Linked DNA regions of Diceros bicornis minor. Each later gene encodes a partner of the first gene's protein in a complex. Links are inferred from orthologs where the notes say so. Each region holds a gene or a part of one and is shown in the gene's direction. Other genes may lie near its edges.

Evidence for each region.
Region 2: UBL4A (region 1) and GET4 share a complex: the UniProt entries of both Homo sapiens proteins name them as parts of the BAG6/BAT3 complex. The link is inferred for Diceros bicornis minor from reciprocal best matches to the Homo sapiens genes UBL4A and GET4.

Annotation. Positions count from the first base shown.
Region 1 is NC_080781.1:138,421,806-138,437,339, reverse strand, and holds UBL4A (ubiquitin-like protein 4A), read left to right. Parts: upstream 1-8,486; 5' UTR 8,487-8,542; coding exon 8,543-8,590; intron 8,591-8,777; coding exon 8,778-8,883; intron 8,884-9,097; coding exon 9,098-9,312; intron 9,313-9,427; coding exon 9,428-9,538; 3' UTR 9,539-11,023; downstream 11,024-15,534. Other genes in the region: SLC10A3 (P3 protein), read left to right, coding at 6,195-7,631. UniProt on the Homo sapiens protein: As part of a cytosolic protein quality control complex, the BAG6/BAT3 complex, maintains misfolded and hydrophobic patches-containing proteins in a soluble state and participates in their proper delivery to the endoplasmic reticulum or alternatively can promote their sorting to the proteasome where they undergo degradation.
Region 2 is NC_080765.1:13,630,247-13,645,001, reverse strand, and holds the start of GET4 (Golgi to ER traffic protein 4 homolog), read left to right. Parts: upstream 1-6,476; 5' UTR 6,477-7,374; coding exon 7,375-7,646; intron 7,647-8,136; coding exon 8,137-8,262; intron 8,263-8,473; coding exon 8,474-8,552; intron 8,553-8,932; coding exon 8,933-9,014; intron 9,015-9,582; coding exon 9,583-9,732; intron 9,733-13,812; coding exon 13,813-13,951; intron 13,952-14,755. UniProt on the Homo sapiens protein: As part of a cytosolic protein quality control complex, the BAG6/BAT3 complex, maintains misfolded and hydrophobic patches-containing proteins in a soluble state and participates in their proper delivery to the endoplasmic reticulum or alternatively can promote their sorting to the proteasome where they undergo degradation.

The DNA of each region.
Region 1 (15,534 bases):
TCCCTGGGGACTGTCGTTGGTCCAGATTGGATTATGGGCTTATCCTTACATCAATCTGTGTGGCTCTGTTTGGCTACACCTGGGATGGGCCCACCCGAGGCCAATGCTGGGGTCCTGCACTGGGAAACCTTGTGTACCGAGAGTGGAGGAGGGATGGTTCCTCAAAGAAAATTGAGATGCTGTGACCTGATGCCAGGCAGGTAAACACAACAGTGGTCATTACACTTCCCTGCAAATACCACCTGTATCCCATACTTGTACCGCTTTATCACCAAGCACTCCTGGGGGCCCCTGCCTGGAGAGCAGGAGGTGGGCACGCTGCTCAGGGTCGCCATTGTAACCCTATTACCTACTATGGTGGCAGGTCTCCCATCGGAAGTGCATTTCTTTTTTGGCTGACCCTATCGTTTGTTCTATCTGTTCTCTCAGTCCAGATGACTTCTCTTTTGTTTTGTTTTGGGTTTTTTTTGTGAGGAAGATCAGCCCTGAGCTAACATCCATGCCAATCCTCCTCTTTTTTGCTGAGGAAGACCAGCCCTGAGCTAACATATTGCGGATCCTCCTCCTTCCCCTCCCCCCTTTTCTCCCCAAATCCCCAGTAGAGAGTTGTATGTCATAGTTGCACATCCCTCTAGTTGGTGTATGTGGGATGCGGCCTCAGCATGGCCGGACAAGCGGTGAGTCGGTGAGCACCCGGGGTCGAACCCCGGCCGCCAGTAGCGGAGCGTGCGCACTTAACTGCTAAGCCACAGGGCTGGCCCCCAGATGACTTCTCTTTTGGAACTAGATATCCTTGACTGATTTGTAGAGCCCTTCCTCCTCTTCTGGGGTAATTTATTTTATTTTTTTTGTGTGTGTGAGGAAGATCAGCCCTGAGCTAACATCCATGCTGATCCTCCTTTTTATCCCTTTTTCTCCCCAAGGCCCCCGTAGATAGTTGTATGTCATAGTTGCACATCCTTCTAGTTGCTGTGTGTGGGACGCCGCCTCAGCATGGCGGGACAAGCAGTGCGTCGGTGTGAGCCCGGGATCCAAACCCAGGACGCCAGCAGCAGAGCATGTGCACTTAACCGCCAAGCCACTGGGGTAAATTATTAATCCCCTAACCCAACTACAAACATTCTCTTGCCTTTAATTAAGCTGTCCCTTTTTCCTGCAGAGAAGGCCTCCAAATTCCCTCATGTCAGACACCCCACCAGCCCACTCCCACTTTTCAGGGAAGGCTGAAGTGACTGACGACAATGGGGAGCAGCCTCTCACTACACCTGCTCTCCTTGACTCCCAGCACCCATTCCCGTTCAGTTGGAATATAAAAACACAGGCTTCCTCCAGGGAGGACACCTCTTTTAGGTTTTCCTTCCCCAGCTCTTCCTGCCAACCCATTCCCCTTCTCCCTCTGGCTAGTTTTACCCTGTCCTCGGACAGCCCCACCCCCACTGCTCTTTTCTTTTGCAAATTGCAGTCTTCAATGCAGCATGAGCCAAGCCCAGCCCTCTCACCTGTGCCAGCCTGCTTCCATCAGGATCCTACAACCCTATTTGAGAGGGACAGTGCAATAGTTCCGGGACACCAAGTCCACACACAAATGGCTTATGCCTTACTGGTCCTCTGAGGCTAATGAACAGCCTAGAGCTATGACCTCTGAATGTGTTTTTTTGTGTGTGTGATAAAGATCAGCCCTTAGTTAACATCCATGCCAATCCTCCTCTTTTTGCTGAGGAAGACTGGCCCTGGGCTAACATCCATACCCATCTTCCTCCACTTTATATGGGACACCGCCATGGCCGCCACAGCATGGCCTGACAAGCAGTGCGTCGCTGTGCGCCCAGGGACCCGAACCCAGGCGGCCAGCAGCGGAGCGTGCGCACTTAACCGCACCACGTGGCCAGCTCTGACCTCTGAATGTTTTTGATCACTGACATAAATCAAGCCCTCTTAAGCATGCTCCCCCACCATGTGTATATCTGCTTAGATATCCTATGCATGTACTAATCTGAACTTTATAAAACACACCAAATTTTTTAAATAAACAAGATGTATTTAAGTTTACATTTAAATAATAGATTTTTTATTAAAATTATTTATTTGAAAAATTAAAAATAGAGATGTTATGGGGTTATTTGGGACATTCTCAATGATGTGTCGTGTGCATCTCCAGGGGCAAAGTACCTGTAACTCTGGGGACCACTGGCTTCCATCACAGCCGTGACAAGAGGTTCTTCCAGAGCAGTGGGTAGCCACTGACCAGCGCGCTGGCAGACTGCAGTTGCCCAGCAGCCTTTGGGAACATGCAAATCCCCTTCCACTATGCACTTGCTTACTGTCTTCCCATGTCTTTTCTACACCCTCACCACCTTTCTGCCCATCCTTACACCATCTGTTTGCATTCCTTTTCCATGAAGCCTATGGACCTTGCTGGTAGCGCCAAATAGTTTTGAAAGGTGGATAAGTCCACTGATGCTCCGCAGTGTGAAATAGGTGCTTGGTCAATGCTTGAACAAAGGAAGGTGGAACTGGGTCGAGCCTGGGCCCCGGAGTCCGGGTCACTGGGACTCAGCCCTCGAGCCATAGGGCTGGGCGCCCTGAGCGGGAACGCAGAGCAGAGGCCTGCATGAATTGTGAGTTACTGAGCATTGCACCCTGGGAGGAAGGGACCAAAAGAGCTGCCTGTGTCTCCACACAGGTGTACATTCTGAGGAGGCTCTTTATTCTCAACATATTTGAAATCACTTAGCTGGAGCAGTCAGTTCAGACACACCTTGTGGCACAGACTTCACAGGACAAGCAACTGCCCTAACAATCCTTGTGAAGCAGCCACTGGTTGAGTGGGAACAGCATGGTGACTTGGGAGCTCCAGGGTAACTGTCCTAGTTTGTCTGACACACCCGCCAAGCTCACTGGCATGTCACCCTTAAGTCAATGCATAGCCCATCTGCCTGGAGAGCCCCAGGACTTCAAGGCCTGTTTCTACATGTGACAGATGCTTGCTTCACAGAGGCCTGTCCCTGCAGCTCTGCCTGAGGATGATTTCTAAATAAAACAAACTGGAATGTCTATCTGTGACTTGGAACCCTCCATATCCTTGGCCCTGAAAGAGATGAAGAAGGGCTTTGGGGCTCTGCAGTCTACCTGTATGAACTCTGGAAAAACAAAACAGAGGCCCTGGCTAATTGGGACTTGGGATTTGGGGGCCCAGATGACCTTCAAGTCAGGATGGCACAGATTTTATGATGCGCAACCGTAGAAAACTCAAAAGTGGCTATGTCTTAAATATAGACAGATCCTGATCCTGGGATCCCGCCACTAGCAGCAGCCCCTGGGCGTCCCAGCTCTGCTAACGGCTAAGCCTGTGTGTCTCACTGCCCCCAGAGGTCTCAGTGTATTTGGGAATGAGTGTGGCCCCTAATCGGAGCGCGTCGCCCCGGCGGCAACCACAGAAGAGTCGGACAGGCGGCTGAACGGCCGCACGAAGCCGTACCAAGCGCCGACCAACCGCGACCCGGAAAGCGACCAAGCCAGCGCGCCCGCGCCGGCTCGTTGCTCCCAGATACGTCACATCCGGTCGGAACCGGCCCCGGCCGCCAGAGGTGAGCCGGCCGCCGTGGGGGAAGCGGGGCGGGTGCGCGGGGCGGGGCCTCGGCTGGTCGCGGGCGGGGGCGAGGCGGGGCGGGGCCCTGGCCAGCCGAGCTCGCAGGCGTCCGCCGGCCCGGCAGGCCCGCTGGCTCCGAGCTCCGGGGCCGTGGCAGCAGGTGAGAGCCTCGGGCCGGAAAGAGCGGGCGGAAGGCAGCCTCTGGTCCCGGCCCGGCTCCGCGCTCGCCCGCTCGGGCGGCCGGGACCGGCAGGGAAGGACCGCCGCCGCGAGAACGTGAGGCCTGGCGCGGCCGCGGAGCCTGGGAGTGGCTTGAGGGCGCCTTCCGCGACCCAAGACCGCCAGGGCGGGCCGCTGGCCTGGCCGCCTTCCGGGTCGCGGTTGGCGACTACGGGGCAGCAGCCTGAGTCCGGCGGCGGCGCCCTCCTCCTTCCCTCCGTCCCGGGTTCGCGCCCGAGCTCTGCTCGTGCCCAGTCCGACAACTTCCGGACTCCCAGGTAGGGAGGAGCCCCGAGTCAGCACTGCCAACTGCCCTAACACCGAACACTCAGCCAGTGTGGAAAAAGCAGCCAGCCTGGGGTTCCTTCCCCTGCCTTGGGGTGCATCTGCTCAAACTCTTCTGGCCCCTCAAGCAGAAATGGTGTGGGATCTGGGCCAGACCCCTCTTGCAGTGACTCAAAGCCGCCAGCTGAACTGGAAGGACAGGGTGGATGACCCTTAGCCTCCTCTCCCTTCTGAACTGGTTCACACCACCGCGGTGGCTTCAGTCCCAGGTGCCTTCATCTTTTCCCTGTGACTCCCCTTCACTTTGCTTCTCATACTCCCTCTGGTTTGCCTGCCTTCCTCTTCAGCGGTGGGACACAAGGCTGGACCAAGGCCTCCAGGGTAAGTGACCCAAACTCCAAACCAGCCAAGACCATGGCATCCCAGGAGGCTGGGGGGAGACATTCCCAAGGATGAGCCTTTTGCTTAACCTGCCCTCCACCTCCTGCCTCCCGCGCTCCCCAGTCTCAGATGGCTGAGTGGGGGCAGGGACAAAGACTGTCAGGATCTACAGAGGCAGGGGCCTCTTCCAGGACTGGGACACTGCAGGGCGTGAGGCAACCAACAGTAGTGATGAAAAACCAGTGTCCCCATCCTGGTTGCCCCAGTCCCAGCAGGTGATGTGGCAATTGGATGGTGGCTGCCCAAACCTCCTCCTTTCACCCTGAGGCACCCCGCCCATGAGAAACACTCATAGTCCCCCTGGGCATTCCAGGCTCTGGTAGGGTGCGTGTGGGCATGGGGAGGAGCCCCTGGACTCCGAGCAGAGCCTCTCAGGTGTGACACAGTGGCTCTAGGAGCTCAAATTCTGGGACTGCCAGAGGAGTGGAAGTTCTGACAGAAGGAGAAGAAGCCCCCCAGCAGACATGTGGTCCTATCAGGCCCCCTCCTGCTGCCCCTTCTGGTGACTTCTCTGGGGAGAGGGGACCTGCTCCCCAGAGAAGAACCCCCATCTCCCCACTGTCAGCAGGTAGGGGAGGCCAGGGAACCATGGTGGCACCATTCACAACTGCACGTTGGTGGTGGACATCAGCCCCTGGGGCCTTCGGCCGGATGGTCACCCACTGCCCACGCCACTTTGCCAGCTGCTTTCTTCCTGGCAGATGATACTCAAATGCCCTAACCTGCACTCTGATGGTCTCTCAGATCTGGCCCAAGCCAGTGTTTCTTTTTTTTTTTTTTTTTTTTGTGAGGAAGATCAGCCCTGTGCTAACATCTGCCAATCCTCCTCTTTTTTTGCTGAGGAAGACTGGCCCTGGGCTGACATCTGTGCCCATTGTCCTCCACTTTATATGGGACGCTGCCACAGCATGGCTAGCCAAGCAGTGCGTCTGTGCGCGCCTGGGATCCGAACCGGCGAACCCCAGGCTGCCGCAGCGGAGCGCACGTACTTAACAGCTTGCGCCACCGGGTCAGCCCCAGCAAGCCAGTGTTTGTATCAGCACCCTTTGCTCTCATCAAGCTTGTCTCCTTGTCATCCCTGGGCAGCCTTTCAGAGATTTCATCGTGGTTGTGGGATTGCTGCGGCCCTGCTGTAGCTGCGTCTCGAAGCTGGTGGGGAACAGGCTAGTGGTGACAGGATTGGGGGTGGCTCTCCCGAATCCCTTGGTATCAGGATGTCTCTGCATGGTCACCATGCTGGGCAAGTCCAGGGAAATGAGCGGGTAGCAGCAGCCTGAACGGGAACTGCTATCTGTGAGTGTGTCCTCTGGGTGAGGGATAGGAAGCTTGAGGCAGTTGTGCTGGGTGAGAGGACAGCCGAATGGCACTCAAGGGCCAGCACTAGGCATTGCCTTTCTGTTCCCGGGCTTGGGGCAAGGGGCCCCACTGAGTCTCCCAGCAGTGGGCTTCCAGATCCCCAGGCTCCTGGGCTCACAGCTGCTCGCCCTCACCAGCCCCCTCTCTGTGTCCCTTTCCTCCTCAGGAAGAGCTCTGCCATCAAGGAAGGCAGCACAGGGCCAGGGCCCGCCTATGGACCCTTCTCAGGACAACCCAACGGTACCAGCAGGACTGCTCTCCTAAGCCACAGAGGGTCTGGGCTCGCCAGCCTTCAGGAAGAGCCATGGTGTTTAGGAGGGGCAGGGGCAGCTCCCAGCAGTGGCCTGGCCTGGGAGGGGGCAGTGGTTGCACAGGCCACCTAATCATGCTCAGGACTGCACTGCTGCTTTTCAGCCTGCCATGGGGGGCCTGGGGAACAGCCAGTGCCAACCTCAGCACGGCTCTGGGCCATACTGTGCCACTGACAGAGGGCCGCTACTTGAGCATTGGGGATGGCTCTGTGATGGAGTTTGAGTTCCCAGAAGAGAGCGAGGGCATCATTGTGATCTCGAGCCAGTACCCAGGCCAGGGCAACAGGACGGTGCCAGGCCCCACGCTAAGAGTCACCTCCCTGGACACAGAGGTGCTGACCATCAAGAATGTGAGTGCCATAACCTGGGGTCGGGGGGGCGGCTTTGTGGTGAGCATCCACTCAGGCCTGCCTGGGCTAGCCCCACTCCACATCCAGCTCGTGGATCCCCACAAGGCCCCACCTATGCTGATTGAGGATCGGAGAGATTTCTGCATCAAGGTCTCGCCTGCTGCCGAAGACGCCCCTGCCACCCTTGGCGCCGACCTGGTCCACTTCTCAGAGAACCCAATACTCTACTTGCTCCTGCCTCTTATCTTTGTCAACAAGTGTTCGTTCGGGTGCAAAGTGGAGCTCAAGGTTCTGAAGGGGCTCCTGCAGAGCCCCCAGCCCATGCTGTTGGGCCTCCTGGGTCAGTTTCTGGTCATGCCCTTCTATGCTTTCCTGATGGCCAAGGTCTTCATGCTGCCCAAGGCCCTGGCTTTGGGCCTCATCATCACCTGCTCGTCGCCTGGCGGCGGGGGGAGCTACCTCTTCAGCCTCCTCCTTGGAGGGGATGTCACTCTGGCCATCTCCATGACTTTCATCTCAACTGTGGCTGCCACTGGTTTCCTGCCACTGTCCTCAGCCATCTACAGCCACCTGCTCAGCATCCATGAAACACTCCACGTGCCCATCTCCAAGATCCTGGGGACCCTGCTGTTCATCGCCATCCCCATAGCAGCAGGCGTAGTGATCAAGTCCAAGCTCCCCAAGTTCTCCCAGCTGCTGCTGCAGGTTATCAAGCCCTTCAGCTTTGTGCTGCTCCTGGGTGGCCTCTTCCTGGCCTACCGCATGGGAGTCTTCATCCTGGCGGGCGTCAGGCTGCCCATCGTGCTGGTGGGCCTCACAGTGCCCCTGGTTGGCCTCCTGGTGGGCTACGGCCTGGCCACATGCCTGAAGCTGCCAGTGGCCCAGCGGCGGACAGTCAGCATTGAGGTAGGGGTGCAGAACAGCCTGCTGGCCTTGGCCATGCTGCAGCTGTCCCTCCGCCGCCTTCAAGCCAACTATGCCTCCCAGGCCCCCTTCATCGTGGCACTGAGTGGCACCTCAGAGATGCTGGCCTTGGTCATTGGCCACTTCATCTATAGCAGCCTGTGCCCAGTTCCCTGAGGCCCCTGGGTCAAGCTTTTGCCACCCCTAGCCCCCACCCTCCACCCACTGTCCCCACAGTTCTTGTGTACCAAAGGCCTTTAGTTCTCATGCACTATGCACTCAGAAAAGTCCAGGCTGATTTTTTTTTTACTGGTTTTTTATTCTCCAGCTTTCAGTGCCAAAGAGGCTATGCTGACTTAGGTAGGTAGGCACTGCCCAGAAAATATATTTCAATAAAAGAGAGAAGCAAGCTTGGGTCCCTTCCCGTCTTTGCCCTTTAAGGCCTGGGGGTGGGGGTAGGAAGGGTGTGGCTGGGTAGGTGTGGGTCGGCGTGGAGGACTGGCTTGGGTGACACGGTGATCTCTGTGCAGACTTTCTTTCTCAGCCCTCCTTCTCCACGCACCCCCTCTGTGAGAGGTGGGCCTCTCTGTTCTAGAATGAGCCACGGGAGCATGCGGGCAGAGGCCTGGCTCCTGCCTGCTCCCAAGCTCAGCTGGTTTTCTTCAGCCAGACTAGAAAGGAGACAGCAGGCCCGCCGCGGGCACTGGGGTAAGCTTGGCAGGGCTGGGCCGTCTGTGGATTCCTGAGAGACACAGACCGGGCGATGGCGCTGCCCTGCTCCGCCGGTGGCCCTCCCTCCTCCCCAGACGAGGCCGGCCCCACCCATTCCTCCTCTCTGTCCCGGCGGGCTTCCCGCGCCATCGCCGTGGGGGACCTGTCGCCGGGGCGGGTCCCTGCGCGCCGGCGAGGCGGGACATCAAGGGGACTCCTCCTCCGGGGGTGGAGGGGGCGGGGCCGGGGCGCCGGGCGCGCCCCTCTCGCTGCTTCCGGCGGCGGCGGGTGGTTCCGGCGCGCGCCCGGGGCGGCGGCGCGCGGCGGGGGGGCGGTTGGGGTGCGCGCCGGCCGGAGTGGACGCCGCCGCGGCCGCCATGCAGGTGACGGTGAAGGCGCTCCAGGGCCGCGAGTGCAGCTTGCAGGTAGCGTCGCCGGGCCCCGTCGCCGGGCCGGCTCGCGCCCTCAACCCCAGCCCCGGGCGTAGGGCCGGGCAAGCCGAGGGCGGGAACGGGGACGGGGCGGGCGGGCCAGCCGCGCCGGGGAGGCCGGGAGAGCGCCCTCGGCGGGAACTCGGGCTCAGCCCCTGCCTCCCACCCTCGGCCCGGCCAGGTGTCGGAGGATGAGCTGGTGTCCACGCTGAAACATCTGGTCTCCGAGAAGCTGAACGTCCCCGTGCGCCAGCAGCGGTTGCTGTTCAAGGGCAAGGCCCTGGCAGGTAACCGGAGAGAGGAGACGCCCCAGGGGCCCCGCAGGAAGTCGGGGGACAGGATATCCAGGCCGAGCCCGGGCAGCGGTGAGGGTCTGGGCGCTGGCCACTTGAGGGGAGGTTGCTGAACCTTCCTCAGCCAGATGCGGCAGCACTCCGGCTGCTGGGGCTCCTTGAGGCCACCCTTGCCGCTGTGGGTAACAACTTAATCTCTCTTTGGCAGATGGGAAAAGACTCTCCGATTACAGCATTGGGCCCAATTCCAAGCTCAACCTAGTGGTCAAACCTCTGGAGAAGGTGTTACTGGAAGAAAGCGCTGCCCGGAGACTGGCCGAGACCCCACCCCCACCCCCACCCGCCTGGCAACTGATCTCCAAAGTCTTGGCCCGCCACTTCAGTGCTGCTGATGCCAGCAGAGTCCTGGATCAACTACAGAGGGTGAGAAGGGTAGCCTGGCCCATCCCCTTCTGCCCCTGCTGCTCCCACCCCTGGCCTCTGTCACAGTGTACTGCCCGCTGGCACCCCCTGAATCCTCCTGACTTTCTCCCCTCAGGATTATGAGAGGTCCTTGAGTCGCCTGACCCTGGATGACATCGAACGCTTGGCTAGCCGCTTCCTGAACCCCGAAGTGACTGAAGCTATGGAGAAAGGGTTCTCCAAATAGGATTCTCTGAGTGTGGGGAGGAGCCCGCCAGGCTGCAAGCTGCATGTAGCATTAAATGTGTTCTCATGTTGCAATTTGGCTCATAATAGTAATAGCTGGCAAGTATCCCTCCCTGGCTCTTGCTAGGTGCCAGGCACCTCGCACAAAAGGTGAGACAGCTGAGGCTCCTGGCAATGAAGTGATGGAGCCAGAACCTGAGTCCAGCCAGCTTCTAGAAGTGCCTCAGGGTGAGAAGGAGAAACGGGCTGTTGGAAGGGTTCCAAGGGATGGGCTTTGGCATTTTGTGTTTAGCCCACTGAGAATAAACCCTCGAGCGACTCCTTTCCAGGTCTGAAAGGGGAAGCAGCTGGCCCCTGCTGCCCAGTCCTGTCACCTGACCTCTGGCAGGTCTAGCATTGGTGGGAGGCCAAGTGGCAGCCAGCCCGGAGCCCCCTCAGCTGCTGCAGCAAGTGCACTCGACGCAAGATATGCAGGTTGGGGAATCAGGGATGAACGTCGCCCAGCTCTGCAGTATGACTTCAAGCAAGTCCCTGTGCCACGTTGGTCCCCAGCTGTTGACTCTGCACAATGAGGGCCAGTCCTTAAACCTCAGTCAATTTCCTTCATCCTTACCCCAGCCCTGGGGTGAGGAGTTGGCGGTGATCCTCCCTCTTGTTTTCCATAAACAAACTGAGGCCAAAAGCCAAGCGATGGCCAAATGTGGCCCAGAGATGGGGTGTCCGAGCCTTTTGTGTCACAGCTCTTATGTGGGCACCCCCCCCCCCGCTTGTACCCTCCTGGACACGGGCAGTTCTCACCCCTTCGGAATTACAGGTCACTGGCTTGAGGTCACTCAACGAGGCAGTGCGAGAGCTAGGCCTCAGCCAGGCCCCTGTACCCTGCGCTCACCCATAGCGTGGAAGGGATCCTTCCCCTGCCACGTGTGTACAAGGGCTTTCACTTTGCACACCCCTCACTGCCTGAGACGAAACCTCGGGTGCCAGGGACGGGGAAGAAGCATGGGCTAGTGGCACTGGTCCTCCCACCCTCCCTGGTGTGTGGGCACTAGAGGTCATCTACGAGCCTCCTTCTTAAAGGAGGGCATCCGGGGTGGTTAAGGCTGGAAGGAAGCTGCCCTCCAGCCTGGGCCTCTTGGGGCAAACGCTGGGTCCCCAGGCTGGGAAGATGAACAGAGGTCTGATGGGCAAAGGCTTTGAGGAGCAGACAGAAGCCCCTGACCCCAGTTGAGAGCTGGGAATAGCAAACAGGGCCCACTTAGGAGCCCGTGTGGTCTGGCAGCTCATGTGACAGACTTAGCAATGCTCTCATTTCTTTTGAGTCAGGAACTTGATGTTGAAATTTTAAATAGCACTCAAGGTGAATGTGAGACTTGGACTTTTATCCAAAAGGAACTATATTAGCTAGGCTGCTTTTGGTTTCCAATAATTGATTTAACCGTAAAGGAAATTGATTTAAACAATAAAGGAAACTTACTGGTTTACGAAACTGAGAAGTCCAGGCCTATTGGCAGCAGATGAACAATTTCAGCAAATACCCAGTTTCTTCCTACCTCCCCTCTGCATTCTGCAGTGTCTGCTTCATCCCAGGCCGCTGCCTCAAGATCCAAATATGGCTGCCCTGAAGCTTCCACTGAATCCCTCATTCACAGCCAGCAAGGAGCACCTTCTCGCCCTATAGTGTAGCTTATTTCTCAGATGCCCCTGACAAATAAACGCTGTCCTTTCATTGGTCAGAACTGGGTTGTGCCACCAATCATTTTGGCTGGGCGTGAGGTGGACAGTGGGAGGCCAGCCCCCTGGACACCCATGGGCTGTGGGAGGGAGAGGGGATTCAACAAAAGCCAGGTCCGCAGGAATGGCTGACTGGTCCACTGCAGGGGAGTGACACACGCAGATGCAAGTTTCAGACAGACCCTAGAGATGGTCATTGAGTCCCTTGTGCCAGCACCTCTCGGCTCGGAAGTGACAGAGCCATCTGGTGGTTAGGAGCCATTCACTGGGCAGTTGGACACGGGGACAGGAGCTCGGCGGGGCTGGACATGGAGACTGGAGTGGAGTCTTCAGGGTGTGTGGTGGGAACCTTGACGGAAGAGCTGACTGGCACCCAGGCCCGGTCCGATTCCAAAGCCCTGTGCAGCCTTCGACGATGACGTTCAGGAGTTACCTGTGGACAGGATGTCCTAGAAGCTGTGAGGACGGATGAGATGGCTTCCCCGAGAGTGTGGCATGAAAAAAGGAGAGGACTGGACCTTGAGGAAGTTTACCAACTGGTAAAGGCCGAGGAGCATGCTCAGACACAAGGCCACAGGGAGAGCTCAGTGTCAGAAGCCAGGAACGCCCCTCCAGAAAGGGGGAGTTGTCCAGTGCTGCCAAGAGGCAAAATTAGGGCAGGACAGAGCCACCTCTGGCATTAGTAACAAGAAGATCATCCGCGATGTTGAGGGGCAAGAAGCAGTTGCAGGATGGGCAGGGGAGGAGTCAGTGATGGTGACTGACTGGGGACCCCTCATTCCAGAAGCTTGTCTGTGCAGGAGTATGTAGCTGTGGCAGGGCAGGGATGGGCAGGTTGGAGGCTGGCAAACAAGAGAGGGAGGAAATGCTGCAGGGATGAGAGATGGGAGGCCCTGGTACCGGGGAGGCTCTGGGTCCTGGTCTCTGCTGTCATGAGAGGAGACTGAGGACTCCATGAGAAGATGGAGTGGCTGCAGACTGCACCACACCTTTGCCCCTAGAATCTGGGGGGTGGCCCCATGTACACCTGCAGGCCCCAAATGCTGAGATCCTTCAACAGGGGTCAGAATGTTTACTGCAGGCATGGTGCTCCTCTGATCCAAGTGTCCACCTGGGTTGTGGGTGCTGACCCACCGCTACCCCTTGTCCCCTACCCACTATGGTGCCCTGAGACCTACAGCCTGCCCCTAGGTGAGGGGCCTCAGGACAGTCCCTGAGCCCCAGGGACGTGGTGCAGCTTGCAGGCCCTGTTGTGATCGCAATGATACTGGGAGACAGCAGAATGAGGGAAGGGCCCAGCTGAAGTGGCCTCTCAGACAGAAATGGTCTGGCACCTGGAATGAGATGCTTGTGGTGCCGTTTCGCAAGGGCACATGGGAGGAGGAGCAGACTCAGAGGAGAGCAGCATTTGCTTTGGGGTGGGACTCGTTGACTTGGAGGTGCCCAGGCGACAGATCAGCTGTGCCCACAATTTGCTGGCGCCTTACAGGCCTGGCCAGCTCCAATAGGTCTGACAAGGCCGCTGCTTAGCCAGGCCAGGCACTCCCAGGAGCAGATGCGGCAGCTGTCGCTGGCCTCAGACCTCCAGGCCCTGAAAAGCCTGTGGGAGAGACAATGGCCTCTTTTCACCAAGCGGAGCAGAGCGGCCTCCGTGGGCACCTGGGGACTTGCCCCTTCCACAAGCCTCTGGCATTCCTCATTTCCCGCCCTCTTCTGCCCTCACTCTCCTGCTTTTTCTTCCACTTCACTGCTCTCTCCTTCTCTGGCTCCTTTGCTGGTTCTTTCCTCCCACACACTCCACCTCTTAATGTTGGGGGGTTCCAGGGCTTTGTCCCCGGACCCCTTTTCTTCTCTCTATTACTCCCCAGGGGAGCTTGTCCACCTTCATTTCCATTTCTTTTTTTTTTCGCTTGAGGAAGATTGTCCCTGAGCTAACATCTGTGCCCATCTTCCTCTATTTTGTACGTGGGACGCTGCCACAGCACGGCTTGATGAGCCGTGCATGGGTCTGTGTGTGGAATTCGAACCTGCGAACCCTGGGCCACCAAAGTGGAGCACCCAAAGTTAACTACTATGCCACTGGGCCACCCTTCATTTCCATTTCTATGCTTCACTCCCACGTCTGTGGCTTATCCAGGCCCTTCTCCTGAGCTCCAGGCCACATCTCCAGGGTGGGACTCCAAGACAGCTCTTGGCTCTCCTGCAAACACCTCACTCATTCCTTCAGCACACACTCACTGAGTGCCCGCCATGTCCCAAATGCTGGCAACACTGAGACTGAAAGACACAGTCCCTTCCCTCTTAGCACCCATGGCCAGTGCTGGGCAGCCCCTCAGCACCCACATTTTCTCCACGACCTGGCTCAATGAATGGCAATACCACTCAGCCAGGCTTTTAATGACAGGAAGTGGGAGGCCACCTTTGCCTCTCCCAACTCTCCCTTCTCCATAGGCAATCTGTCAACAATATTTTTAGAAGAGTCCAGAGCAGTTACTTTGTAGAATGTTCTAGAGTCTGGATTTGCCTGATTCCTTCCTTGTTAGATTCAGCTTAAGCACTTTGACAAGTTGCTTTCCTTCCCCCTCTCCCTCAACAGCATCAGCAGGCACTCGGGGTCAGGTGGTCCCACTGTGGGGGAGGCTCGGTTTGTTTTGATCACGTGGTCAAGGTGGTGGCTGCCAGGTCTCCCCATTGCAAAATTGCATGTTCTCTTCTTAATGCACAAGTAATCTGGGGTAATACCTTGAGACCCTGTCCATATCTTGTGCGCAACAATCCTTATCTAATGGTTTCACCAACCAAGGATGAGCCTGACCAGAAGGAATTGCATTGGGGGCTGCAAAACAGTGGTTTTCTGATCCTTTTTTTTCCCTGAGGAAGATTTGTCCTGAGCTAACATCTGTTGCCAATCTTCCTCTATTTTGTATGTGGATCGCTGCCACAGTATGGCTGCAGATGAGTGGTGTAGGTCCACGCCCAGGAACTGAACCTGGGCAGCTGAAACAGAGCATGCTGAATTTAACCTCTAGGCCAGGGGGCTGGCCCCTCTGATGCTTTCCTTCTTTCTACAATTGTTAATTGGCATTTCTCTATGAAGAGCTTTCCTTTTCCCCTGCTCTCTTTTCTCAATTATCATGGTGGATGCATCGTTTTTTTTTATTCAACAACTTAGAATCCAAGAGTGTCATTTTGGGGTCATTTTTATTGGTCTACAGCATTCATGCAGTACTGTGCATAAATCATATCACTGTACAGTGCAATGGACCTTTAAAGTGAACACCCTATGTATCTATCCTCTCCAGACTGAAATAGAGAATACCACCAGCACTCCAGCACCTTCCCTGGTGCCCCCTCCCAGTCATGCTCCTCTCCAAAATCGTTCATATTCTTTTAGATGCTCAAGTTGTTCTAGCTTTGCTTCTCTCGGGTTAGTTCCTGAGTCCCTTTGACATGCCTCATGCTTCTGTTGTTCAAGCACTTCCTGACTTTCTGGCACTACAAGGTGCTCCAGGCTCAGCTTGTGTATTTCTTACCCCAGCCCTAGAATCCACCATTACTTTTTTGTTTTTTTTTCCCCCCAAAGCCCCAGTAGATAGTTGTACGTCATAGTTGCACATCCTTCTAGTTGCTGTATGTGGGATGCAGCCTCAGCATGGCCGGAGAAGTGGTGTTTCAGTGCGCGCCCGGGATCCAAACCCAGGCCGTCAGCAGCGGAGCGCGCGCACTTAACTGCTAAGCCACGGGGCCGGCCCGAATCCACCATTTCTCCAGGGAGCTCTGGTCCTTTGAGTGGAGAACGATACTGAGAAACCAAGGTCTGAGTGCAGGGTGTGTTCATTGCTACTGGGGTGTCACTGCTTCTAGACTTTTTCACTGGCTCGAACTAGGAAATATATATATATATATATATATATATATTTTTTGTGTGTGTGTGTGTGTGTGTGTGTGTGTGAGGAAGATTAGCCCTGAGCTAACATCTGTTGCCAATCCTCCTCTTTTTGCTGAGGAAGATTGGCCCTGGGCTAATATCTGTGCCCATCTTCCTCTACTTTATATGTGGGACGCCTGCCACAGCATGGCTTGATAAGCAGTGCATAGGTCTGTGCTCTGGATCCGAACCTGTGGACCCTGGGCCGCCGAAGCAGAGCACGTGAACCTAACCACTATGCCACCAGACCAGTCCCAGAAATATATATTTTTATGAGTTCATACTGCGGGGCCGGCCCAGTGGCGCAAGTGGTTAAGTGCGTGTGCTCCCCTGTGGTG
Region 2 (14,755 bases), on another chromosome or scaffold:
GATTTTCAGAGTCAGGACTCAGTGTGCTAATATCCATTCATTCTGTCGTAGCTGAAGTGAGTCTGATTTGAAGGGGGTGGTCTGGATCCCAACAGACACGTCCGTAGAGTTCTCAGGTGCCCCACCAGGCTCAGCCCCCTGGGCCACCCGGAGGTTTCCTTCCACAGTGTGAATAGGAACCAAGAAATCCAACCTTCCGGGTGTTTTCAGGTTTTGTTTTGAATTTTGCTGAAAAGTGAACACTAACATGCTCTAAATCTTTCAGAGGCTTGTTTTTATTCCACTGATGGTTATCAAAGGAGGTTGTCCGGTGCGGCACATTCCTGAAACTGTTGCATTTTATGCTTATCGTTGTTCTCATAGCTGTGCTTCCTCCCGGTGCAGGTGGGGTTTGCCTTGTATTGCGACTGTCGGCCATTCTCACTCACTTCCCAAGAGATTCGTTTGGTTATAATTAATATTTAATATTGACTCTTCATTGAGCAGACTTTATAAATGAGGTGTCTGCAAGGCACGTCAAATGTCACAGATGTTTTACCTTAAAGTTTTATTGGGTTAAGACAGTTTTTTTTGTGTACCATAAATGTTGTATTTTCAGAAAAAGATAAAATGATGGTGCTGACTGGTTTTCTTAAGAGTTTTATGTATATTGCACAACAGTCCTCAAATATACAAAAACTACATAAAGTAGCATTTTTTTCACTCTTAGAATTGGAACTAATGCCTATGCAGTTAAGTTGGATAAAATGTATACAGATGTTTCATATATTACAGGATAAATATATAAATCAAAATTTCTTATATAAAACTAAATTTGGGAGTTGGGTGGAAATATTTTGAATATTAATTTATTTTTAATGATGCAGGATAGGACTCTGTGCAATGTATTTTTGTAAATGCTTTTCAAAATATTTGTCTTTGTTAGTCCTTCCTTTGCTGCCACCAAATTAATAAGATGCTGTTGAAATGTTTAAATAAAGAGTTTTAATTTTTAAAAGTGCATGTGATATTTCAAATGAACAATAAACAGTATATTTCCCTTTTCTCAATTTGCTTTTGTTTCTGCCCGTGGAGGTCTGGGGGAGGAACGACTAGATGTGCCTGTTCTTTCTGCCACGTTCTATGTCACGGGCTTTTTAATGGAGACGTGTCCTCACACAGCTCCCCCAGCTTTACCCTGGGCCATGGCCACCTTACGTGGAGAACAGGCTGCAGTGCAGAGAAGATTGCTTGAGGAGAAACTTGGGAGAAGAGGGGATGGGTCTCCTCGGAGGAGCGCTTGTCCCTGGGCCGCTGTTGCTGAGGGTGGGCGCTGGCACGGCTCCCCATCAAGCCGGAGCAGAGTTCGTTCGCTCCGTGTTTACCGGATGCCGGTGTGTGCCGCACCGCGCGGAGGTCACTGCGAGCAAGGGCGGAGCTGAGGGAGGCCCACGTGCCACGAGAGAAGGGGCTGGGCAGCCCTCTGAGGAGGTGACACTGGGGGTCGGGACAGCGGGAGGAGTGACGCTGAGGAAACGCTGGACGGGGCAGGTGGCAGGACTCGAGCGCCAAGGTCCCCGGAGAGAGCGGTGCCCGCGAAGGCTCCCTCCTGCCTCCACCTCCCGTCTGTCGATTTTCAGGGGCAACCGGTTGTCCAGGCAGATGACCCGTAACCGGCTGTTCTCTGGAGGAGCGAGAAGGTGGGGTTCCGCCGAGCCCCGCTGGGGACCCGTCGGGAAAGCGGCTCCACAAAGGGAGAACGTCGGGGGAAGCGTAGCTTCCATTCGTTTCTCCTTTCTTAGAACAAGGGGTGCGCGTCAGACACGCGGGGGCGCTGTTCCTCACGCCGCGTGCCTCCCTGTGAGGAGGCTGCCCGCGCTCCTGGCTTCAGCGGGGGCACGGGGTGGACGGGCTGGGTTTGAGGCCGTGGCGGAGGTGCGTTAGTTCAGGCCGAGCCAGGGTTACCCCAGACCAGCTGCCCCGGGACGAGCGTTCCTATCACCGTGTCACCACTTTCTTATCCTTCTGCAAACACGCGTGTATGAGGAAAAACCTAAACACGTGCTTCCCCTCCGTTTCTGACACAACGATGGCACACTCAACGTGCCGTTGTCGCCCCCCCTCCCTGTCACCAGAGCATCTCGGGGCCCCTCTCAGGGCAGGACTGCTCCTCAAACAGCCCCCGGGCTCTCACCGCGGGCACCAGCTGGGAACCGAGAGCCTCCGTCTGCGGGGCTGACGACCGGGCGCGCCCGCGCCACGGCTGAGGCGGGCGGTTGCAGCGGCGCCCAGGCCTCCGGGCGGCCCGCCCGAAACTCCGCTGGAGCGGCCGGACGGTTCAAGTGTCGGCGGTCGCTGGAACGCCAGCTGCCTCACCCGCGACTACCCTCCCGGGCACTGGGGGGCTGGGGGTAGGGCAGCGCCGCGACTCCCGAGCCTCAGTTTCTCCTCCGCCGCGCCTATCCGCTCCGCCCTCACGTGCGCTCGCCATTGTGAGGTCAGCGCACCCGCCTGAGGTCAAGTAGCCGCGGTCCGCAGCCCCGCCCCGCGGTCACGTGGTGGCCCCGCAGCCCCCGCCCCGCGGTCACGTGGCCGCTCGTCCGCCCGCCGGCCCCCAGCGCTCCGTGGCTCCTCGCGGCCACCGTAGAGGGCGTCGGGCGGCCGCCGGGACGGAAGCCGAGAGGCGCTGCCGACCGCGCCTGCGACAGCGTCAGCCCTGCGCGGAGCGCCGGCCCGATGGCGGCGGCTGCGATGGCCGAGCAGGAGAGCGCCCGGAACGGCGCCCGGAACCGCGGCGGCGTCCAGCGCGTGGAGGGCAAGCTGCGCGCCAGCGTCGAGAAGGGCGACTACTACGAGGCGCACCAGATGTACCGGACCCTCTTCTTCAGGTAGCCGACCGCCGCCTTCCCGGGCCTCCGCCGCCGGCGCCCGCCCCCGCCCCCCATTGGCCCGCGCCGCTGCCTGTCGCCGAGGGTCGGAGCGCGCGGCCGTGCGGCGGCCCGGGGAGGGCTCCGGACCCCGGCCCAGACCCCGGACCGCAGATCCCGCCCCAGACCCCAGATCCCGGACCCCTGTCCAGACCCCCGACCCCGGACCCAGACCCTGGACTCAAACCCCGGAGCCCCGGTTCCGGACCCAGACCATGGGCCCTCGATCCTGGACCCCTGTCCAGACCCCAGACCCCCAACCCCGGACCCTGCCCTTGACCTCCCGGCCTGAGTCCTCTACCCCGCTCTCCTTTCCCCCGGCTCTCCCACCGTCGAGCCCCTAGCGCCGTTGCCTTTGAAACCCCCACGCGGAGTCTCACGGTTCCTCCCACAAGGAGTTCAGTCGTGAGGGTTTAAACACGTTTCTCTGCTTGTTTGGTCGCTCTTGCTCACCCGCATGCTATGTGTTGTTACTAAACCAGCTATTTTTATTACCCTGATGGTGTCGTACCTGCGCTGCCCAGTGCGCTGGCCGCTGGCCACGTGCGGCTCTGAGCTTCTGGAACGTGGTGAGTCCCAAGTGGGACGGGCTGTGAGTGTAGACACACGCGGGCTTCAAACACTGCGTGCAAAAAAGGACGTGAAATAACTCGTTGCAACTTTTAAAACATTGATTTCATGTTGAAACGATGGTTGTATATTACTGGGTTAAATAAAGTGGTTTTTATTTTAGTGTGGCCCTATAAATTTTCAACGAACTGTGTAGCTTGCATTAATTTTTTTGGCCTGCAGTGTGTCACAATATTTCTGCTGTCACACAGCCCCTGCCATAAATCGTTTTTATACGTGTGAGACATTCTTGTGAATTACACATCTGTGATCCTTTATAGTTGGAACCAGAAAACAATTGGGCGATTCATTAGAACTTGGGTATGTATTAAAGATAGTTTTAGAGGATTTAATCTGTTCTACAGAGTGCGTTTTCTTTCTCAACTGCCGCAGAACAGCAGATGTTTTGGTAAGATATTTAAGGGCAGTGGGTCGGGCATTTATACCTTTTAGGCCTAGATTTTAAAATTTTCTTCAAATAGCAAGTTGAATCAATATCTTGGGAACTCTAGTGGTGCTTTCTGCTTTGGTTGTAGTTTACCAATTTGGTTGGGTTAAATGTGGCACGTTGTGGCCCAGAGGACCAGTTAGGAGTGAGTTGATGGTTCTTCAAGGAATGAGGAAGATGTGTGTGGGCATTACACTCTGTGACACTGAGCCTCCCGCCAGGCGGCTCAGCCAGTCAGAAATCTGTGACGGGAAGCTTTTGTCTGCTCAAGGTCTGCCCCAGTGCTTGCTGTTCTTGGGGATTTGTATATATATAAATATTTGCCCCAGTGATTAATCAGCAAAACTGGATCATCCCAGAAATAAACACGGTGCTCCTTGTTTTGAGCCAGTTCTGCAGTGGCTGCTACATGAGGAACGTGAATGTCGATTAGCTTTAAAGTGGTAAGTCCCTCCACCCGGGATGCATTTCATGGTGACGTTGTGGGGTGGTGATGAACATCAGGCTCTCCACCAGCCCAGCCTTGACCTGGGCTCACAGTCCACTTCTGCTCCATGACCTGTGACCCGGGACACCTTGTTGCTCCTCTCTGAGCCTTGGCTTCCTCGTGTGTCATTTGGGCTACTCCTACAGTTCTCCAGGAGAGATGAGAAGTTAGCAATCTGCCGTCAGCCTCATGGGGGATGCAGTGGACCAGGTCAGCGGTGGCAGTTGTGGCCATCCTGGAGGCCTAACAGAAATAGCCCGGAGTTGTCCCTGTCCCTCCAGGGTACAGACCGTGTTGAGACCCATGATGCCAGCCCTGGGTTAGAGCCCTCTACAATGGTTAACTCCTGGAGAAGTCAAATTCATTGAATTTTAGTCTTTTTTTAATGTCTTTTTACAAATATATATATCTATATTTAAGTATTTATATAAAATGTACAACTTGGTGAGTTTTGACATATGTACAGGCCTGTGACAGTATTGCCAAGCAAGACGAAAATATCCATCACCCCCCCCCCCAAATTTTCTCATCTGCCTTTATAATCAATCTCTCACCCCTTGCCCCCAGGCAACCGCTGATCTCTCTGTCATGATAGATTGTTTTTTTTTATCTGGAATGTTATAGACGTGGAATAACAGAGTAGGTCCTGTTTTTCTATCTGAAGTCATCTGGCGTGGTCATTTGGAGATTCATCCATGTGTATGTTAGCAGTTCATTCATTGCTGAGGGGTCTTTCGTTGTGTGGATGGACCAGTTCATTTATCCATTCACGTGTTGGATACATTTACCAAGTTATACTATTTTAATTCCCTTACATTATATCCCACAGCAGTTTAAGGAGGTTAGGAGAAGGAGTTGGACAATCCAACAGATTGGACTTGGGGGGGGGGCTGTTCCACAGGAGTGGGCAGTAGTCGCCGGTCCAGCTGGTTGGGCTGGAGGCAGGGCGTCTGTGTTTGGCTCTGTCTCGTCAGTGGTGCTGCTGGCAGTGGGCGGTCACCTTGTCTCTTCAGGTCTCTCTCCGCCAGGACGAGGAGGGAGTCTGTTTTCCCGTCCTGTTGGTTTATTGGTACTCGGTTAAATAAACCCCGAGGCTGGCATGACTGCTTGGCATGGTGGCCCCGTGCTGCCATTGTCGCCTCAAGGGGTCTCCGCAGCTGGCCCAGGCCCGCTGTGAGTTAACTGAAATCGGGGCTTCCTACTGACAGGGCCCTCCTGAGACTCGTGTTGATTGTTGATTGTGGCCTGTAACCTTCTTTTGCCTCTTAAGTCGAATGAAGAAGTTTTTAGAAGGAAAATTTAAAACGCGTGTTCTCTGCAACCCCATGCGGAGGGTGGACTTTTCCTGAAGGGGTGGCTAGGACATGGGCAGCTGTGCCTTGTCAGCTCAGCCGGGTTCTAGGGGCGACCCTGAGGCGGGGTTGCTGAGCTCGCCTGAGCCCCGCTGCATCAGGGCTTCAGTTAGCGGAGACTTTTGACACCTCTGTCTTCTTAATTTGACATCTGCAGTTTTTATCACTGATATTACTGCTTCCATTTCTATGTTCTGCTCTCTTTTTTTAAAAAATAAGAACAAAATAAACTAGAATAATTGCACAGACGTGATCCTGTGTGGCTAAAGATGTGCTGCTGCCATATCAGTTGGTGGGCAGATAGCACCGGCACATGCCAGCCTGGAACGTCCTTCCATCGGGGACGCAGAGGCCAACTTCGACGGTGCGCAGGTGTGGACGCGCAGCTGCAGAGGCGAGGGGCTGCGTGGGTGGCGCTGTGCTGGAGGGGTCTTGTTCCGGCTGCTCCCAGCCCCTGAGGCCTTGGAGGGCACCTCACCCCTGGTCAGTCCCTTCAACAGATCCCTTCCCACTTGCGAAGTTCTGCAGGAAGAAGCACGTTCATTTTTCATAGTGGCCGTTCACTGTCTCCCCCCGCCCCCCCCCCCCGCCCCAGCTTTCCTTGATCTGCAGCAGCGACTTTGACTGGGTGGGGAATGACTGGTGGGAATCCTGGTGGCGTGTGTGCTCAGTAGACGGGTCACCACCCCCCTCCCCTGTGTGGGCTTCCGTGCCCTGAGACGGGCCACGATCACTGCCTCCTGAAAGCAGGCTCCGTTATCCCAAGAATTTTATCTGCTTTTCAGGGACTTTTTTTTCTTTCATCTGGTTTTCTAAGAGGTTTTCTATTGTTATACCTCACATAGAAGAGTCTACAACTCTGTCGTGTCATGAATAAGCCAAGACAAGCTGGCGTGGTTGTCACTTAGGAAAAATGCCGACAGTTCTGTGTGTGTGCAGGTGGCAGCATGAGGCTGTGCACCTCTGAATACTTGTTTTTCCAGAACACCCCATGGCGGTGCTGGGACCAGGTCATGTGCAGGGCGGCTCCCGTAGGATTAGACTGGGATGACCTGGGCTGCTGTGGGAGCAGGCCGCGTGTGTGAGAGAGAAAAGGACTCCGCCCCAGCGGCGCTGTTGCAGAAACCACAGACTGTGCTGGTGACCTGCGGGCTGACAGTGGTTTTCTTTCTTGGGATGCAGGTTTTTCCTCCCAGTCGCACCTCTGTACAGCCAGATGGGGGCATGTGTCCGGGCCAGCTGGATCCCTGCGTGCTGGCTGGAGTGGGGCTGTGTTCTCCTGGGGGTGTCTGGTTGCGGAGCCTCTTTGAAGAAAAGACCTTTTCTGTGGTTAATGGAACAGCCAGCCGTTCGCATTCCCCCCTGACTGTGGCCCTGGTGTGCTCCGGGGAAGCTCGGCCTTGAGCCCCCTGTGCCAGCACCGGCGCTTGCCGTGTCCTGAGAGTGCCCGTCCACGGCTTACTTCCTTTCTCTCCTGAACTGGATTTGTTTGGGCTGGAGGCACAGTTTTGGTTGACTGGTTATGTTTCTTTTCTGATAATCACTGAGATAAATACACAGCCGGTGAGTTAAATGTTCTGGCGCCAGCTGTGCCGGCTGCCACTGGAGGCTGTGCCTCGCTTTGGGAAGCCGTTTTCTGCTATTTCACACTCTCTGTCTCGGGCAGGGGCTCTGTGCCACACGCAACAGCTCAGTCCCGGTCTGCTCCCTGAACATTGTTTGTTGCAGGTGGACCGTCGTCCTTTCTGTTCTGTGTCTGCACGTTACCTGCCAGGCTTCTTGCTGCTCTGTGCTTCCGTCCCTCTGCAGTTCAGGAAACCAGCTTTTCCCAGCTCCTGTACTTTGTGAGAAACATGTTCAAAGTGGGAGGGTGATGCACGACCAAGGGTGATGGCGCCCACCCAGGCCTGTGCCTCCCATAGGAAGTCAGAGGGGAGCACAGGGAGGGGGCTTGGGGGCACGTGGTCTGGCAGCCGACACTGAGGTCAACGCAGTTACTGTGGGTACTGTCCCCCAGTCAGCCTCCGTGCTGAGCTCCCACTGTCCCTTGTTCCCTGCCTCACTCCTGACCTGTGGTTCTCCAGGGGATGAGGGTGCATCACCCGCCCCTTCATGCAGCACCTGCCACCATGGCAAGGCCTGTGCCTGAGATGGAAGTCCTCCCTTCTGCTGAAGACCCTGGAGTGGCTGCAGGGAGGCGCTGCTCAGGCTCCAGGCCTTTCTGGGCCCAGGCAGGGTCCCCCACCCGCACTGTTATCAGATAGTTATGCTGCAGGGGGCACAGGTCTGCTGGTCCCCTGAGGCCCAGATCACCGACAATGGGGATTCATGCAGGCCAGGGGGAGCTGGGCTGTGGGACACCCCAGTGTGGAGCCTGGACAGACCCCAGGGGCAGGGTGCCTTGACCACTCGGTGCGGCGGCAGACCTCAGGAGAGAAAACAGCCTTGTTTCCGTTCTTGGTGGGAGGTGTGTGTGTGTCTGGGATCGCCAGCTTCATAATGCTCGCACATTCATGCAGATGCCTTATCTTTGCATCTGCTCTCCGAAACCGTCCCTGTGTGGCTTGGCGGACAGAACTCAGGGGTGTGTTAGACTCTGGGGGCATCTGCGTGAAGCGTTGTGGGTAGCTGCCCCTGACTGGCGCTCTGCTCCCCTCTGTCTCCGTTGCAGGTACATGTCACAGAACAAGCACGCAGAGGCCCGGGAGCTCATGTGCTCAGGAGCGCTACTGTTCTTCAGCCACGGCCAGGTGAGCAGCGGGCTTCTCCCGTGGTCTTCTTTGCTTGGGGCCTGAGGGTTGGGGTGGGAATGTCCAGGGAGAGACCTGGTGGATGACCTCAGGCTGTCCTTGGTGCTGGCCGCTCTGCCTGCAGCTGGGTGAGTGTCCTTGGGTCCAGGGGCACAGATGCAGGGCCCCCGGCTCTCTGTGGGTGTACCCCAGGCTGGGAGTCAGCTATCCGGGCTGTGTTGCTAAGTGACTCCGCTGCTCAGAAGAGTTTTCTCAGCTTTGTTCTGTCACAGGTTTCTACCTGGAACCCAGAGCAGTTGCCTCGCTTTGCCGTGCATTCTGAAAACGGCCAGAGCTTTGTTTCTAACTGTGGGATTCTTGTTCGTTTCCATGTTTTGTAGCAAAACAGTGCTGCAGACTTGTCCATGCTGGTCTTAGAGTCGCTGGAGAAGGCAGACGTCGAGGTGGCCGATGAGCTCTTGGGTGAGGCTTTCTTACTGTGCACTCGAGACGGTCTCATGGCTGCTCTCACGTAGCCACACACACACACACACGGGAGCCACCTATACTGTCCACTGCTCTGATGGACAATGGCCTCCCAGCCAGCCAGTGGGCAAGGTGGGGCGTCATTTTGTCTCAGAGACCTGGCTTGCTGGCCTGTCCTTTCTGGCGAGCATGCAGTTGGGGAGCCCATCTTGTGAGCTGCCAGCTGGGAAGATGAAGAAGGGGTCCTGCTCCTGGTCTTTGCCAGCCTGGTGCTTCACTTCCCCACCGCAGCCCACCCTCCGCCCAGCTCCCCAGTGCGGGCTAAGCCGTGAGGCCAGAAAGGAGCAGTGGCTGCTGGTACTGCTGCGGGGAGGTCAATTGGGGGTGGCCCCCAACAGCACCAGGACCCATGGGGGTACGCTGGGACACCACCAACACGCAGGTTGCTTCTCAGCTTTCTACTGCAGTGAAATAATTGTTGTTTCCAATGAATTTTTGTAAGATGCACTGTACGAAGAAGTGGTGTATTCCTTTGGGTAAGAGTCTGTGTTTGTGTTGTTTTTAGAAAATCTGGCTAAACTGTTTAGTTTGATGGATCCAAATTCTCCGGAGCGAGTGGCCTTTGTGTCTAGAGCCCTGAAGTGGTCCAGTGGAGGATCCGGGAAACTGGGCCACCCCCGGCTCCACCAGCTGCTGGCCCTCACCCTGTGGAAAGGTAGGCCCTGGTGAGCCCATGCGCAGAGCGGCTCTCGGAAGTGTGGGAGTGGGCGGCCCGAGGGCCTTCCCAGAGGGCTGGGAGCGAGCTGGTCCAGGGAGCAGGTGTCCCTCTCTCTGCTTCCTTTGGCTTTTATTTGCTTTTCCATTTTAATTGGTTGGAATCATCTGCCACAGCTGATGAGGAGGGGAGATCCTGCTCTCGGAGATAACGCGGGCTGGGTTTTTTCTGTCTTGCTAAATGTGAATGTCTGTGCCTTGATAGCGGATCTCCTCTCGGTGGAGTCACCTCGCTCAAAGGAGAAGCGCCGAGGCAGCGGGGAGGACAGGGCGGCCGCGCTGGGCTGGCCCTTCACATGTGACCCTTCCTTGGCTGCCCCCTTCTCTCTCAGGGGCTTGTGAGTCCTCATGGCAGCGGCCTCGCTCCTCCCACCACGGGTCCTCCTTCCTGAGACGTCCCTCCAGACCAGCACTCTTACGGCGCCAGGCGCTGTTTTTTCTTTTTAGCGTTTGTCACATCTTCTAATGAGCATTTGTGGGGACTGGTCAGGCCGTGAGGGTGGGGAGCATGTCCCGAGCCCCGAGCCTGCTGCTTGGGCACAGGGAAGGGCACTGAGGAGCTGCTGGTTGAGTGACTAGAAAGATGGCTGATGGTGGGGTTTAGAAAGCTGCTTTCGCTGGGTCCTCCACGTGCCCTGGTTGCAGATATAAGTGTGTGCGCCCATCTCACTGGACGTCACCTGGTGGGCCCAGTGGAGAGAGGGCGATGCTGGTCAGGGACTCGTTGCGGCGCAGAGGGCGGGGCCTCGAGGCTTGAAGCTGTCAGAGTTCAGAGGGTCTGGGCTGAAGGCACCTCTCCTCTGGACGTGAGTGCAGATGAGCCTGTGAATAGCACCCACAACAGCCAGCCCTCCTGGAACGGCCATTCTGACTCGGGGCAGGGGATGGGGTAAATGTCTGTCTGCTCCACAAGCCAGCCACCCCAGGGCGTGCTCCTCCCTCTGCTCTCCGTGGGGCTGATGCACAGGTCCTCGTCCAGCAGCACACTCCTCGCCTGTCCCTTCTTCTCTCGGGGCAGGTGACGCTCCACTCGCCATCTCCCGCCTGCTGTGGCAGGCGGGGTGTGAGGCTCCTCTGTCCCTCTGGGTGTTGGCACAGCCCTGCCCTCACCCCAGAGGGACATTAATGAGAATAATGGGTCAGACCTGAGAGAATTCGAAGTCCAGAAAGTTAAGGAAGCTCTTCTTAGAGGATGTGGCTGAGTCACTCCCCCAACTCTAACCCAGAAAAGAAACGTTACTGAGAAAGAGCAGCTGGCGCCTTCGGGCACAACAGCCAGCGGGCTCCCTCCTCCCTCTGGCCACACATTCCCCATGGGCGCCTCGTTCTTCCAAACTCAGCCTCCTCCCAGCGCTTCTAGCCGGTTCCTCCTCATCCCTGAGAACTCACCTGATGTCACCCATGGCCCGTCCGGGCCATCCTCATTAGCGTAGGTTTCCTGCTACTCGCTCACAGCGCCCATTTATTTCCCGGCTGTTGTCTGTCTCCCCCGGCACGCCCTCTTGCCCTCAGAATTAGTCCGTCTTATTCAGTGCGGGACGCCTGGTAAGTGCCGTTCTGCAGCCCACGTGGCCATCTGCTGGCTGGCCCGACAGGGCAGTGGGGAAAGTCTTCCAGAGGAGTCGGGCCTGCATGTGCAGGTGGGAACCAGCAACCATTGATTCCACACCCCTCCTGCCCGGCCCATGTTTGTGGGGCCCATGGGGACCCTGCGTCTGTGAAGCAGAATGTGCGAACCATGATGGTTCGGCCTCGGTGGTTCAGGATGTGTATTTATTGTTACAGTGTTAAATATTCAGGATAGAGACAGTTGAATGTTCTTCTTCAAGCACAGACTGTCAGGAGAGATGTGCAGTGTTCTGTGTGGGTGTCCAGTTCGTGTGGAGGGGCCGTGCTTGGGGGTGTCTGCGGGAGCCCAGCCTGAGAAAGGCAGTGATGGGGCTCCCCTCCAGGCAGGTGTATGAGGCCAGAACTGCTCTCTGCTGGGCGTCCTGGGGCCACTGCCTGCGCCTTGTTGGTTGGGGTTCACGACTTGCCCCCATTCACATTCCTCGCCACATGCGGTGTTTGAGGTTCCATTCCAGGGCTCCGAGGGGGCCCTATGCCGGCGTGAACTTCTGGGCTTAGTTACCTGCCTCATTTTTCTTCTCATGTGGATGCTCTAAAACCAAAAGGTTATTTTTGTGGGTTGGAGGGAGAGAAGGGAGACAAACGAAACACGACTGCAGAAAGGAACGCTGACTCCGTATCATTCTGAGTTTCCTGAAGGCAGTAGCCGGGTGCCAAGAGCTAATGCCAGGCTAGGAGCGCCTTTTAGGTGGTGGGGGCGGTGCCACGCTCATGCAGAGCCCTGGAGGGCAGGCGGGGCTGCCTTCCCTGGGTGGAACTTATGTTCTCAGTAGCAGATGGGAGAGAGCAGGCACACGGGGCCGGGCTGGGGCGGGTGGCACGGCACCTTACCCTGGAAGGATGAGTGGGAGCCAGGGTGGCCTGTGAGCAGGGCAGGGGGTGATCGGTCTGTTGTGGGAGACGGCCGGGCTGTGGGCAGGTGACCTGGAGGAGCTGGGGTGTCTGAGCAGGAACTGGTGGTGGTTCGGCCTGGAACCAGGTCTCTGCCTTGGCGCTGCCAACTCTCTGGGTGTCCTGTGCACTGCAGGGTGCTGAGCAGTGTCCCTGGGCTCCAGCTAGATGCCAAGGGCACCTACGGCTGTGGCAGCAAAAATCGTCTTTAGACATTGCCAAGTGTCCTGTGTCGGGGGTGAAATCACTATGGGAGGAGCTGGTGTAGGGGGCAGCACGTGGGAGAAGAGCAGAGGCATTGTGAGTGGTGAGCGGGGGGCAGAGTGGCATGGGAGGCCCAGTTCACAGCCTGACGCCCACTGGCAATGGGCAGGTCGGGACCATCAGCCAGTTGACAACAGAGATGCTCAAACAGCTCAGCGTCAGAGGACACGTGTTCCCTAGTGGGCTCACATCCTCCTCCCCTCTCGCTCTGTGAGCACTGCAACTTGGCGCCTTGATGAAAGGTGTGGCCACGGGACACGTGGACTGAGAAAGGGCCACTGAGACTTGACTGTGCACACGAGTGAGCTGTTAGGATGCAGGTCCAGTTCAGGGCTGGAGAGTCCACCCTCCTGACCAGCTCGCAGGTGACCCCGCCCTGAGTGGGGACAGTCCAGCCTCTACTGGGCACAAATCAGAGGTGCAAGTCCAGGGTGGTGGTGACGGGAGAGACAGGCCGCTCGCCACCATCCCGCCGCATACAGGACCCATTGGTTCTCACAGGCACTTTGGTCCTGTTCCCAGTGGGATGAGCAGCCCTGCATCCAGAGGAGCTTCTCTCTGGTGCCTGCTCCATGCCGGCCTCGATGAGACCTGGCCTCATGGGACTCAGCTCTTTGTGGAGGGGGGCAGACGGTAACCATGGCGATTAACTCAAGTGTAGAGTCTGTTCGAGGGTGGAAAGTGCTGCAGAAGAAAGAGCGGGAGCGGATGGGCTGGGAGCGGGGCTGCGGGCTCTTGGCGGACTTACGGGCCTGTGGGAGAAAGGCGGGCCTCGACCCGGTCCTGGCTGCTCCTCTGGGATTCAAGGTGCTTGTGTGTCGGGGTCAGTGGACTTGGTGTCAGGATTTTGCATTTCGTTTCATCATGTCTGTATGAAATTGCTATCCGTGTAGGTCAAAAGAGTCTGTCCCTGTTGGCCATTTCTCACGGTTCGGCTGATATAAATGTTGATGTGGGAACGCGGGGCAGCTGGCATGACTCAGCTGAGCTGAATGACCTGCCCTGTCTGGCCATTTGTATTTGACTTTGGATTGGAGGTGGCTGGTGAGATGTTGGTGGAGCTGCCGTGTGCAGGACGGTGCGCTGTCTACACTGCTGCACTCGGTGTGAGCAGGGGGAGTGCTGTGCAGAACGAGAGCGGGTGCGTGGGGAGTGTGCAGTGGTGTCTTTCAGGCCCCCTGATACGTCATGTTTGTGATACGTCTGTGTTGACGGGTTTCTCTTTTTGCCTTCATAGAACAAAATTATTGTGAATCTCGATATCACTTCCTGCACTCCACTGACGGTGAAGGCTGTGCCAACATGCTGGTGGAATATTCCACCTCGAGGGGATTCCGCAGCGAGGTGGACATGTTTGTGGCCCAGGCTGTCCTACAGTAGGTACCTGTGTGCACCTGTTGCCTCTTTGCTTCAGTGGCTGTGGGGTTCCAGAGGCAGCCTCTGAGCTGGTCACCTCATCACCTGACCGAGACACGTGGGAGGGTAATCACTGAGTCACTTAGGGTCGCACTCGAGTGTTGCCCTTGCAACCCCTGCTGCAGACCTCTTGGGGACAACAGACATTGTCCCTCTCAACTCTCTTAAGCCAGCGGAATTCTCAGGCACTTGTAAGATTTCAATTGAGCAGTAAAAGAAGTGAGTTTTAATGTTTTAAATTAACATTCTTCTGTTACCATCGATTTTCTGTTTTTCCCTATTAACTCTTTTATGTTTTGGGGGTTCTTCAGTGTCAGACAACCTTTCTTTTGTAGGACACACGTCTTTAGTAAGTTTCACCTGGTATCTGGGGATGTGGGGTGAGCAGGCTATCAGAGGCTATGCTGTTCTCTCCAGAGGTTTGTGCATCTGAACGCTTCACTACGTGGATAGCGCCTCTCACAGCCAGCGTTCATTCCCACTGGATCCTGTCTTGTCCCTCTGCTCCCGTTTGGCCTCCTCATCCCGTTTTCTCTCCAGCAGTCATCTTGAGATGTTGAAACGTCCAACGGTTGAGTGGGCTGTGCAGTGAGCGCCCACATCAGGCAGGGCCGCCCGCCCAAGCGCCTCCCTTTCTGCTTGTTCCCGACTTGGGCCCATCCTCCCTTCCTGATGGAGATGTGTCACGGGGAGAGGTTTATTTCCTCCCACAGAGACACTTTGATCTGGTAGCCGGGCGTTGGGTCGGAGTGTTCTGTGAATTT